Saccharomyces cerevisiae S288C: one gene and its partner. Each later gene encodes a partner of the first gene's protein in a complex. Each region holds a gene or a part of one and is shown on either strand. Other genes may lie near its edges. The genes, in order: RPN11 and RPN6. A codon is read from its position in the direction of its gene.

The links.
Region 2: the proteins of RPN11 (region 1) and RPN6 are in contact, whole or in part, in a cryo-EM structure (PDB 3J47), measured with the Saccharomyces cerevisiae proteins. Residues at the interface, in NP_116659.1 of Saccharomyces cerevisiae: Tyr251 (codon at 2,738), Ile255 (codon at 2,750), Glu258 (codon at 2,759), Lys259 (codon at 2,762), Thr262 (codon at 2,771), Glu265 (codon at 2,780), Leu266 (codon at 2,783), Arg269 (codon at 2,792); in NP_010186.1 of Saccharomyces cerevisiae: Thr408 (codon at 5,043), Ser411 (codon at 5,052), Glu414 (codon at 5,061), Leu415 (codon at 5,064), Gln418 (codon at 5,073), Leu419 (codon at 5,076), Lys421 (codon at 5,082), Val422 (codon at 5,085), Val423 (codon at 5,088), Asp424 (codon at 5,091), Gln425 (codon at 5,094), Leu426 (codon at 5,097).

The regions. Positions count from the first base shown.
Region 1 is NC_001138.5:151,406-159,509, forward strand, and holds RPN11 (proteasome regulatory particle lid subunit RPN11), read left to right. Parts: upstream 1-1,987; coding exon 1,988-2,908; downstream 2,909-8,104. Other genes in the region: linker nucleoporin NIC96, read left to right, coding at 1-1,130; type 1 protein phosphatase-activating protein YPI1, read right to left, coding at 1,252-1,719; mRNA splicing protein SAD1, read right to left, coding at 3,122-4,468; YFR006W (putative Xaa-Pro dipeptidase), read left to right, coding at 4,740-6,347; YFH7 (Yfh7p), read left to right, coding at 7,894-8,104. UniProt on the Saccharomyces cerevisiae protein: Component of the lid subcomplex of the 26S proteasome, a multiprotein complex involved in the ATP-dependent degradation of ubiquitinated proteins.
Region 2 is NC_001136.10:284,891-290,516, reverse strand, and holds RPN6 (proteasome regulatory particle lid subunit RPN6), read left to right. Parts: upstream 1-3,821; coding exon 3,822-5,126; downstream 5,127-5,626. Other genes in the region: putative dolichyl-phosphate-mannose-protein mannosyltransferase PMT5, read right to left, coding at 1-608; dolichyl-phosphate-mannose-protein mannosyltransferase PMT1, read right to left, coding at 1,005-3,458; U4/U6-U5 snRNP complex subunit SNU23, read left to right, coding at 5,352-5,626. UniProt on the Saccharomyces cerevisiae protein: Component of the lid subcomplex of the 26S proteasome, a multiprotein complex involved in the ATP-dependent degradation of ubiquitinated proteins. In the complex, RPN6 is required for proteasome assembly.

The DNA of each region.
Region 1 (8,104 bases):
ATATAATAATATCGTATGGACCATCTCGCTTCTCAAACTATTACTTACAGACCCTTTTGTTAAGTGGGCTCTATGGATTGGCTATTGACTATACTTATACATTTAGTGAAATGGATGCGGTGCATTTGGCAATAGGGCTAGCAAGCTTGAAGCTATTTAAGATTGATAGCTCAACGCGCTTGACCAAAAAACCCAAAAGGGATATCAGGTTCGCAAACATACTAGCTAATTATACCAAGTCCTTTAGGTATTCAGATCCTAGAGTTGCTGTCGAATATTTGGTTTTAATAACTCTAAATGAAGGACCTACCGATGTCGAGTTATGCCATGAGGCGTTGAGGGAGCTAGTATTGGAAACTAAGGAATTTACTGTTCTTTTGGGTAAAATTGGACGCGATGGAGCTAGAATTCCGGGGGTGATCGAAGAAAGACAACCTTTATTACACGTTCGTGATGAAAAGGAGTTTTTGCATACAATTACAGAACAAGCAGCAAGAAGGGCAGACGAAGACGGCAGAATATATGATAGTATATTACTGTACCAGCTTGCTGAAGAATATGACATAGTTATTACCCTCGTCAATAGTTTATTAAGTGATACACTTAGTGCGTCAGATTTAGATCAACCATTGGTTGGACCTGATGACAATAGCGAGACGAATCCTGTCTTGTTGGCTAGGAGGATGGCGTCCATATATTTTGATAATGCTGGTATATCGAGACAGATTCATGTTAAAAACAAAGAAATTTGTATGCTGCTCTTAAATATCTCCTCTATCAGGGAGCTATATTTCAATAAACAATGGCAAGAAACACTATCCCAAATGGAGTTATTGGATTTACTTCCTTTCTCAGACGAGCTATCTGCTAGAAAGAAAGCACAAGATTTCTCTAATTTAGATGACAACATTGTGAAAAATATTCCAAATTTGTTGATTATCACTCTAAGCTGTATATCGAACATGATTCATATCTTGAACGAAAGTAAGTATCAATCGTCCACAAAAGGTCAACAAATTGATTCCTTAAAAAATGTTGCGAGACAATGTATGATTTATGCTGGTATGATTCAATACAGAATGCCAAGGGAAACGTACAGCACTTTAATTAATATAGACGTCTCTCTATGATTTTTTTAAATATTGTATATTTTTGTTTATATCTATATATCAGTATGCGCGCATACTTAGTAAAAGTATAAAAAGCCATTTGCTGCTTCATCGAATATTTTGGCTTTCGTTGTACAAAGCCTCAGTCCTTCTTTTCCTGCTGTTTTCGCCTGTATTCAGAATAATCTGGTTGGATTTCATAAGCATTGGGGCTATATGACCTTTTTTTCTCAAGTTTACGATGGCGCCTTTCCAATCTTCTTTGTCTACGTTCGTTAAAGTCAAGATCCTTCTCATTCTCAGATTCTGAAGAAGAGGATCCGGAAGAAGAGGATCCATCATCATCTGAATGATGGTTGCACTCTTCTTCATCCTCATTTTGTGGATGAAAAATGCAGCATATCTTGGTCTTTTTTTTATTCATGTTTTCATTGTCAATCACATTTTCTTCCCATCTTACATTGTGCCTTGTAGGCATTGCCTCCTGGCTTCTTGGAGGATCTTGAGTTGCTCGAAGCTGCAAAACTGCGGGAACCTCTTCCACACTCACCGTTCGGGACCCTACGGTCTGTTGTTGTTCTGATCCCATAGCCATTTGATTTCCACTCATCCTTATAGACTTAATTGAAGACTTAGCTCGCAACTCCTGGCAGTTATAAGCTCTTGGGACCCTTGACTCGAATTGTTTCTAAATGATAAATACGGCCCCTTGTTTATACTGAAACGCACGTCGCTGATGATTTCGGACCTCCAAGGTGGCAAATTCACAAGAAAAGCCTTTAAGCTAAGAAACGGTTTATGACCAGTATTAATATTGAGAAAGAAAAATAGCAGGTGATAACACAATTAAGAGGACTTAACAAGAAAGACGAGACATAATGGAACGACTACAGAGATTGATGATGAATAGTAAGGTGGGGTCCGCGGACACCGGCCGTGACGATACGAAAGAAACTGTTTATATTTCTTCGATTGCGCTTTTAAAGATGCTAAAGCATGGTAGAGCTGGTGTTCCCATGGAAGTCATGGGGTTGATGTTAGGTGAGTTTGTCGATGATTATACGGTTAACGTTGTGGACGTGTTTGCGATGCCTCAATCGGGTACCGGAGTTTCTGTTGAGGCTGTCGATGATGTTTTCCAAGCGAAGATGATGGACATGTTAAAACAAACGGGCAGAGACCAAATGGTCGTTGGCTGGTACCACTCTCATCCAGGGTTTGGCTGTTGGCTATCTTCTGTTGATGTTAATACTCAAAAATCTTTTGAACAACTAAACAGCAGAGCTGTTGCTGTCGTTGTTGACCCTATTCAATCCGTTAAGGGAAAAGTTGTCATCGATGCTTTTAGATTGATTGACACGGGCGCATTGATAAATAACTTAGAGCCTAGACAAACAACCTCCAACACAGGCTTATTGAACAAGGCCAACATTCAAGCCTTAATTCACGGTCTGAATAGGCATTACTATTCTTTAAATATTGATTATCATAAAACCGCGAAGGAAACCAAGATGTTAATGAACTTACATAAAGAACAGTGGCAATCAGGTCTTAAGATGTACGATTATGAAGAAAAAGAAGAATCAAATTTGGCTGCTACAAAGAGTATGGTTAAGATAGCCGAACAGTACTCTAAGAGAATAGAAGAGGAAAAGGAATTAACCGAAGAAGAACTTAAGACAAGATACGTTGGTAGGCAAGATCCAAAGAAGCACCTTTCCGAAACAGCAGATGAGACACTAGAGAACAATATTGTTTCTGTGCTGACGGCGGGTGTTAATTCAGTGGCAATTAAATAAACAAATTTTATAAAGTCATTATGCATTAAATAACTAGAAAGCCCACTACATATATATTATATTGTATTTTTCTAAAAATTCTAATGAAGTAGTTAATGGAATGAATGGGAAAGAGAAAACGCGTTAGGAGGGAAAAGGCTCCTTAAATAACAGTAAAAATGAAATGGCTACTGGTAGTCCCAGTGCCAATTTTTTTTTTTACTTTCTTTTCTTTCACTCTTGCTTTTCCCATACTTGTATAAACGTTTCCTTCAAAAATAAAAGCTCGGCTTCTCTCTCTGTCGTATTTATGCCATCTATTTCTATCCATTTTTCACTTTTGTTATCATACAGCTGAGTAATCCAATGGCTTTTTTCATCACCATTAAATGCGTTTCCATCTGTGGATGGTTGTTTAATGACCACATGGACCACATTTGCTTTTAAGCGATACTTGACGTGCAAAATTTCAAGTTCACTGGAAAATTCCACCAACGTTTGGTTTCTATTTTTGACAGGATGATCACTGTTACGGTCAAACCTATTGAAATGAAATATTAAAAACTGCGGTAATCGCGTTAGTTCAAAAACGGTGCTAGTAGAGGAGCTTCTTGACTTAGTAAATTTAGTCAATAATTTAGTGATATTTATTTGTGGGAGATCATCAACGCTGTTGCCATCTTCAAAGGGTGAAAACTCCGGCAAATCGAGAGTCAGAACCCAAAATGGTTTGACAATGACTTTTCCTGTAACAGACTCACTGGCCTCAGGCTTATTTTCAACTTTTGCTATCTTTACTTTGCCTTTACAAGAATGGTTTAAAATTGACTTTAAGTCGTTCGAGGACGAGCAAATTTTATTGAATAGCCACAAAAGGAAGAGACGCGGGTCTATAGGATTTAAATTTAAACCTTCTCTAACTTTCAAATAGGATACAAAATCGTCAACTGAAAGATGATGTTTGAATAGTTTAGGGGACCAAATTTTCTTTACACATATGGATAACCTTTTGATAAATTCCCCTTGATTATCAAAATGATTCAGTAGGAAGTGGTCCCGCACTGGAACCATGTGCGATATCAAAAGCAATACACTATGCGCATAGTCATAAGTTGCCGCATTGGTGAACCCTATAAATCCATTCAGATATGTGCGATTGCTCAAATCAAAACACTGTCTCGGAAAATCTTCTAGATCTTTTGGACAATAAGTCGGATAAGCTGCAAATTTTATGCTGTTCAACAATTGAACCTCACCGTCATGTAAAATTTGGACATTTTGCGGCAACATGTAAAACTTCAAACTTGTCAAATTCAAGAAGACGTGATGGTTTTCATCAATTGAATGTATGAAAGCAGGACTCTTTTCATGTCTCCCCTGATAATAATGTCCACACACGAGGCAACAATATACATTCAAAGGGGACAGAGTAATGCAGCAAATTTTCTCAGAATCGAAATCTAGTTTTTCTCTTACTACAGTCTCAAGATAGGCATAGTTTGGTTCCTGAGACTTTATCTTTTTTACTGCCTCCTGTTTTAACTCATCTTCTGAATGTCTCCTTTTGTTATCAACCTCCATTATAAACAGCGCTTTAGGTTAACGCCCACTAAATGATGAACCATGAAGAGCATGGTTAGATTGCTGCCAATTTTTTTTCCTATTTCGTCATTTTTTTATCAAGATTTTCCAGTTTTTTTTTTTTTTTTGGCATTGCTTACTATACGCGAGGGAGGTTCAATTGACACTTTCCGCTACGGCGATTCTTCAGAAACTGTGTCATCTTTTTTCCAGGTCGAGCTGTAGGAAAACCTGGGAAATATAGGTATATACCTGATCTGTTGTTGGAGTGATGTGCCTTGAACCAATCTCTCTTGTTGTTTTCGGATCCCTGGTGTTTTTCTTTGGCTTGGTGAAGTATTTCAAACGTGGAGAACGGCAAAGAACAAGAGGAATTTTACAGCCAGAGTACAAAGATAAGTATTATTACAGTAAAGAAAAAGGGGAAGAAATGGGCGAGGTAGCAAACGTAAATGAAATTCCGGTCAAGATAAGAAATCATAAGTATCCTGCGAAAGAACATAACTTGAGGGTTAAAGATTTGTTGTTAAATCGCAATCCGAAGCTATCAAAGATATCCACAGCATTTTTTATTGCTGGTGAAGAATTAGAGGGAAACAAGTATTGTGACACCAACAAAGATTTTAGACAGAATAGATATTTTTATCATTTGTCAGGTGTTGATATACCTGCTTCGGCGATATTGTTTAACTGTAGCACAGATAAGCTGACATTGTTTTTGCCAAACATCGATGAAGAAGATGTCATATGGAGCGGTATGCCTTTGAGTTTGGATGAGGCAATGAGAGTGTTTGACATTGATGAGGCCTTGTACATATCTGATCTGGGGAAAAAATTTAAAGAATTGCAAGACTTCGCTATCTTTACAACCGATTTGGACAATGTTCATGACGAGAATATTGCAAGATCACTAATTCCTTCAGACCCTAACTTCTTTTATGCTATGGATGAAACTAGAGCAATTAAGGATTGGTATGAAATTGAAAGCATCAGAAAAGCTTGTCAGATTTCAGACAAGAGCCATTTGGCCGTTATGTCCGCGTTGCCCATCGAACTGAACGAGTTACAAATACAAGCTGAATTTGAATACCATGCAACCCGTCAAGGTGGTCGTTCTTTGGGCTATGACCCCATTTGTTGTTCTGGACCGGCATGTGGCACTTTACATTACGTCAAGAATTCAGAAGATATCAAAGGTAAACATTCCATCTTAATTGATGCAGGTGCAGAATGGAGACAATATACAAGTGATATCACCAGATGTTTCCCAACTTCAGGCAAGTTTACTGCGGAACATCGTGAAGTTTACGAAACCGTTCTTGACATGCAAAACCAAGCAATGGAAAGGATTAAACCTGGTGCTAAATGGGACGATTTACATGCACTGACACACAAGGTTCTTATTAAACATTTCTTAAGTATGGGTATTTTCAAGAAAGAGTTTTCTGAGGACGAAATCTTTAAAAGAAGAGCTTCTTGCGCTTTTTATCCCCATGGACTAGGGCATATGTTGGGGCTTGATGTACACGACGTTGGTGGTAATCCAAACTATGACGACCCAGATCCAATGTTTAGATATTTAAGAATCCGCCGTCCTTTGAAAGAAAATATGGTTATCACTAATGAACCAGGTTGCTACTTTAATCAATTTTTGATCAAAGAATTTTTGGAAAAGCACCCCGAAAGATTGGAAGTTGTCGATATGAGCGTATTGAAAAGATACATGTATGTCGGTGGTGTTAGAATTGAAGATGATATCCTTGTTACCAAAGATGGTTACGAGAACTTAACTGGTATTACTTCTGACCCTGATGAAATTGAAAAAATCGTTCAAAAAGGTTTGAAGAAACCCCGTTCAGGTTTCCACGTAATCGTTTAGGTATTAACTTTTTTTTACTCGCTTCTAGAAGTTTAGTATATTCTTTTGTACACAGAATTGTATATTTTTTTTATAATCTTGGATTCACCATTTAACTAGATTTGGAAATATAAGGAATGGCACTGAAAAAATTAAGGACCAACCCCGAAGAGCAAAAAATGAATGCGAATTCTGTGGATCGAACACAGGACCTCCAGATAACTTGACCGAAGTTTTTTCTTCAGTCTGGCGCTCTCCCAACTGAGCTAAATCCGCTTCTATTTATGAAAAATTCATTGTTACAGGAACTATAGGACTATAATAACTAGCTGCTAACACCTTTAAATGTGACTTTTCTCATAAGGAAATCTAGCGATTCAGAATTCGAGAATTTTGCAGATTGCAAAGTTTTCTTTTTACCATAATATTTGAGAATGTTGTAAAACTTGAGATAATTATTCGGATGTCATTGTTGATTGAAGATAGCATTCCTATGAGTCGCCCTCGAGGACTTGGATCGAAAAATCTACATAATATTAGTAATTACTATTATTGTTGGAATTGGATAAACCGTCGTCCACCTATTTGAGAAATAGGTAATTATTATATGAGTTATTTGGTTCCTTTTTGTTAAAGTAATAATTTGAAATGCCATCCATTTGGTAATATTCATGTTATTGGCATATTATCATATGCGGTTCAGGAAGATGACATAAAAGTTGAGAAACAGTTATCAACCCTAATGGAAGCTGAAATGCAAGATTGATAATGTAATAGCATAATGAAACATATAAAACGGAATGGGGAATAATCGTAATATTATTATGTAGAACTACCGATTCCATTTTGAGGATTCCTACATCCTCGAGGAGACTTCTAGCATATTCTGTGTACATAATATTATGGTCTTGATCAACAATGCAATCCCAACAGTTATCAAATTATTCAGAAAATTGATCACATTTTCGATAAATCTATTATGAAAGTAAAATTTTGACTCATACCTAAGTTCTCGTTATTCGTTAATCTTATGAACTCATTAACCTTGGCGTTTCAGCATCCGCTATGATTACTAGTGCTTAAACCTTGTTATTCATGCCTCATAATTGATGCCATCTTCTAACCTCGAGCGTGATAAAATTTTTGTAATATGAACACCAATCGGCGGAAGATCATCCCAAAGCCACATATGATGGTGCCTTATAACATTAATAACAACTTCAACTGCTGCATACCGATAATATCTTGACGATTATGCATTCGTGTCCTGATAGCTAATGCCATGAAACAATTCTTTTCAATCGCACTTGCACCTTCGTGAAATAGAAGGGTTATCTGGGCTTATCAGACTTGTCCACAGTTTACATATAATTTTTTTTCTGTATTAAATTTTGTGAGCTTTCTTTTTACTCAAACGAACTGTGTTATTTTTCGTTCATTAAATGCGTACCTTTAAGCATCATCAAGTATTGCTCTTCGGGAAAAATGAAGTAACCTTGTTAGGTTAATTTCACTAGTACTATACATATTTTATCCTGTATCATACCAGAGGATCATTCTAGCCACAATGGTCGATACGCATAAACTAGCAGACGACGTTCTTCAGCTATTGGATAACCGTATCGAAGATAATTATAGGGTTTGTGTTATCCTAGTCGGTTCTCCAGGCTCCGGTAAGTCTACTATTGCGGAAGAACTTTGTCAAATTATAAATGAAAAATATCACACATTTTTGTCAGAGCATCCAAATGTTATTGAGGTTAATGATAGGTTGAAAC
Region 2 (5,626 bases), on another chromosome or scaffold:
TCCGATCTTCTAAAGAAATAAACTGCACATGCCATGAAAAAAACAAAGGGTCCCTCTATCAAGGTGAAACGAGACAACGTTACAAAGGAGTTTTCAATTGCAAAACATACTGCACAAATGGCAGCTACCGCAATTTTCACGCCAGAAACTCGTAACGTTAAGTATAATACCAAAACGGACACGATGCCCAAAGTAGCAGAAAAGAACCTCATCGCGACGTATGGAACGTTTGCCGTGTATTCAGTACCAATGTTCCCATAATTGAAAAGCCCTTTATAACCAAAAACAGAGGACACGGTTGCATATAGCATTGCCACTAAAGGAGGATGAACATCGGTGAAGAATATGTTGTTCACGTATTGAGAAACAAATGTACCAACTTCATTTTCACCAAAAACAACACTATTTGGCAGGGAGATATTGTGTAGCCTTACGATGGCAGTAAATATCAGCAAACAGCCAACTAGAAGCTTTTCCTTAGATGAAGTAACTGTTCGTAATGAACTCAAATTATCACAGGGTTTTGTTATGAGAAAAGACCTCAAAGGGCCGCGTTTAATAGTCACATCGGGGATGGGATCCACCTTCAGCAAATGCTCTTTATTCATCTTTAAAGCAGTTATGATCTTACACACCTGCTTAATTGTTAAATCAATAAGAATATTTTCGAAAAAGAAGAAAAGAAACGGGTCTATGCATAATATGTACTACGCTTCTGTTCCTTTTCTATTGTTCTCGAATGCCTATTCGATAGACTTTTCGCGGCACGTAAACGAGTTCTTGGAAAAAAAACGGTGCGAAATGATAATACCACTGAAACTACTTGCAGATCATACTTATTTGAGCGAAATAGAATACGTGTCTCTAAACGCAGATGGACAATATAGTCAGCTTCAAGACATTTTTTTTATTCATGATGTTTTTTTTGTCTATTTTCGTTTTTAATTATACGCTCGAGAGCTTATAGAAGACTTTACATAAAAATGTGGAGAGTACTGGGAAATTTATTCCAAAACAGCCCTTTTTTCTACTTTTAAAATGTTAGCTCCCTCCTCTTCCAACATTTTTTTGACAACTTCTGGATCTAGTTCATTACCTTCTGTGTCTTTAAAGATTTTCTTGCCATCCTCGTTCATGAGATCTTCATACGACGGACCGTCCCCTTCTATAGTGATTTCTTCAACTGTACTAGTGGCGGCAGGTTGAGATTCACGTTTAGTCAAGGTTTGGTTTTTGTACTCTTCTAATGAAGAAAAGTATGTGTTACAATTGTAGTCCCAACCAGACAACCACTGCGATTTTTGACACAATTCTTGAGTCCATGGTGTACCGTAAATAATTGGACTGAAGCTCTTGAAGAAATACACAGAAGCAGCAAGGAAAGTGATCACTACCGCGTAGCCCATTTGTCTCTTGCTGCGGAAAACATAAGAAACTATTATGTCCAAGGCGTGGCCAAGGGCAAGAATACCGAAATAATAAGCAGGTAAGTAGTGATGCAAAAACATTTGACGTTGCATTAAGAAAGATGGAGCATAATGGACGGCAAAACCCAATAAGTAGTGAATAACCTGAACGTGGAAGTTAACAACCTTGGAGTCCTTCAAAATTGGTTTACCTAACTGCCACGAGAACAGCTCAGTGATAACAATCAATCCGAAAATACCGATGAAAGCGGTGACAGCCCACCATACGATCGCATTACCTAATAGATAGACGTTTCTGTTATTTTCACCCCAGTAACTTATACCACGTAGCAAGAATGGCCATGAAGTTGGTTGTGATTCATAAACATGAGGTTCGACCAAATTTTTATTGATATGCCACATCTTTTTATGGGATTCAATAAATTTAGAAATGAAGCTTGCAGGTTTATAGGAAATACGCTTGGTATCTTCTGGTAACAATGGGTTACTGTTGTTCTCAACGTACCACAATGTTAAATCATGTCTACCGGAGGAGGCACAGGTAACTTCTTGTTGTTCGAACCCCCAAGCTGGCAACTTGACTTCGTGGGAAAACAAATAACAGCCTGTCATAGCATGTCTCAATCTAAACTTTGTGTCCAAAGCTATGACCCGTTCTTGGGCAACTCCAGGAGCAGAATTCTTTTTATCAATCTCAACAACCCAGTCATCATTAGCATCACCGTCGAATCCGCTGTAACCATAACAAGAAACCTCCTTCTGCCAGTCGCTGCTTTCTGAAACGGGTGGCTTATGGTCATGAGAGTGTAATCTACATCTTGTAACAGTGTGGAATAGTCTGACCTTGGTACCATCGGTTAGGTTTTGGAATGTTGTTAAAGATTCGCCGGGTGCGTTGTAAAGTTCCAACAACCAATCGTTATTGGCATCCATGTGAGGATATAAAGTGCTTTGTTGTTGTTCCGAACCAGCTGGATAATTGTGTGAATGAGAATGCAAATAACCGCCCATGGTAGAGAGATGACGCAAGCTGATAATGGAGCCAATGCCGACATCAGCAACGACATTTTGGGGGATCTTATTGTTCTTTAGTGTAGATCTAAATTCAGGCGAAAAGAAGCTTGCGCCATCCCCGTCCAAAGTTAATGATTGGAAGTGGATATAAAAGAAGACCAGATAAAGGGCAAAAGGCACACCCAACAAGAAGGCCAATTTGGCAAATGCTACTTTGAAGATGGACTTGGAAGACTTAGTCAAATCCCCAATCATGAACCATAGTCTCCAGATACATAAAAGACCCACCCATGTAACCGTGAAAAGACCAACCCATTTGGATGAAGATGCCATACCAAGAGCAATACCAGTAGCAAGCAAGGACTTGTAAGCATTGAGCGAGTTGGCAGGGTACATTTCGTATTTCTTGAAAGAGTAGACTGCAGCTGCAATGAAAAACATCAATGGGGCGTCCAACAGAATGTAACGAGAAATAGTGACGTACGAGTTTTCAACGGCAAAGCAGATAGCGCTCATCAAAGCAACCCACATACGAACACCAGAATAACGTAAAGTCATGTACATCAAAATAACAGTAAGAGCCCCCAAAGAAGCAGAGAAAAATCTCATCAACACGTATGGCGTCGTAGATGGAAAGCTGTCACCAATATTTTCGAAGTCAAAATCACCCTGGAACCCACCAAGCGATGCCACACCAGCATACAACATCTTTGCAAGAGGAGGATGCACATCCATGAAGTAAGTCCCCCTAATGTATTGCGAGGCAAACCCACCGAAATGTACTTCATCAAACACCACGCTGTCAGGCCATGCCAAGCCATGCAATCTAATGACCGCTGTAAAGACAGCAAGACAGGCCACTAACAGCTTCTCTTTAAGAGTGACCATGGTTCGTAACGAGGCCAATTCGGCACTCGGATCGGTAACAATAAAGGGTCTTACGGGGCCCTGCTTGATATCCAGTTCGGGCACGGGATCATCCTGCTCTACACGTTTGTACGTTTTCTCTTCCGACATGACCGTGCTTGTAGCTGTTAGCTGTTTCTTGATAGGCTCTTCTGATACTACCTCGCTTTAACAATGCACCTGTTTGTCTTGTTTTGCTGCTCGAAAATAATCAAGATCTGCTTAGAAACGCCAAACTCTTCTTCGACACGTGTCGAGAAAAAAAACGCAGCGAAAAAAAAAAAAAAGGTATATCATCACAATATACGATATAAATGGGCAGGGCAACCCCGAATGATGTATATTCTCTTCTGGTTCCAAGGGTGGCAAATGTTGGTAGAAAGCGTAATTGAAGCAAAGATCCGTTAAATAAGGCCAACTAACAGAAGCGCTGAAAGAGGACAATTGGTGATTAATCTATAAACGAGGAACTTCATGTCTCTGCCAGGTTCGAAATTAGAAGAGGCCAGGAGACTGGTTAATGAAAAACAGTATAATGAGGCAGAACAAGTCTATTTGAGCCTGCTGGATAAAGACAGCTCACAGAGCAGCGCCGCTGCCGGTGCCAGTGTGGATGACAAGCGTAGAAATGAACAGGAGACAAGCATATTGGAATTAGGACAGTTATACGTGACTATGGGTGCAAAGGACAAATTGCGCGAGTTTATTCCTCATTCTACGGAGTATATGATGCAATTTGCCAAATCCAAAACGGTAAAGGTATTGAAAACGTTGATTGAAAAATTCGAGCAAGTGCCGGACTCCTTGGACGATCAGATCTTTGTGTGCGAGAAAAGCATCGAATTTGCCAAGAGAGAAAAAAGGGTGTTTTTGAAGCATTCACTCTCGATCAAATTGGCCACCTTACATTATCAAAAGAAACAGTACAAGGACTCATTAGCATTGATTAACGATCTTTTGAGGGAGTTCAAAAAGCTGGACGACAAGCCCTCTTTGGTTGATGTACATCTATTGGAAAGTAAAGTTTACCATAAACTGAGGAATCTAGCCAAGTCCAAGGCCTCGTTGACTGCAGCAAGGACGGCCGCTAACTCCATATACTGTCCTACACAAACAGTTGCGGAGCTGGACTTGATGAGTGGTATCCTGCACTGTGAAGATAAAGACTACAAAACTGCATTTTCGTATTTCTTCGAAAGTTTTGAAAGCTACCACAATTTGACTACGCATAATTCCTACGAAAAGGCATGTCAAGTGTTGAAATACATGCTATTGTCTAAGATCATGCTGAACCTTATTGATGACGTAAAAAACATCCTAAACGCAAAATACACAAAGGAAACGTACCAGTCCCGAGGCATTGATGCCATGAAAGCTGTCGCTGAGGCTTATAACAACAGATCGCTTTTAGACTTCAACACGGCGCTAAAGCAATACGAGAAGGAACTAATGGGCGATGAACTAACAAGATCCCATTTCAATGCATTATACGACACGTTATTAGAGTCCAATTTGTGTAAGATTATTGAGCCATTTGAATGTGTGGAAATATCCCACATTTCCAAAATAATCGGTCTGGATACTCAACAAGTTGAAGGAAAGCTCTCCCAAATGATACTAGATAAGATATTCTACGGTGTTCTGGATCAAGGTAATGGTTGGCTTTACGTTTACGAAACTCCGAATCAGGATGCCACGTACGACTCTGCATTGGAATTAGTCGGGCAACTAAATAAAGTCGTCGATCAACTATTTGAAAAGGCAAGTGTCTTGTATTAGGTTTACATGTATATATATGTATGTATACTCACAAGTACCAGAGTAAGAATTCCTAAATAAACTTATAAAATGCAGAAAATACATAAGTATGATTTTTCTTTTTTTTCTCCTAAGAAAGGAAGAAGTTTAATCGAATGCGCCGCTAAATAGAAAACAGTTGATGCGAAAGTTCATCAAAACCAGAAGTTCCTACAAGCCTTAGCTGACAAAAATTCGAGAAAGCTAATGTCGAATTTTGGCAGAAGAACTTGGGATAGAGAGGAGTATGCTGAGCAGGCTAGAAGCGGCTATGACGATCGATCCTTAAAGGCTACGCTAACACCGATTGAATTACAAGCTTTAAAATCCAAATATACAAATTACGATCATTTAATCAAGGGCTCGCTAAAAGACCTAAATAAAAGGAAACTAACAGCAAATACAGAGAGCTTATCGTCTTTCAAGAGGGGAAAGAAGTTCGGATTTTACTGCGATATTTGTAACCTAACCTTCAAAGACAC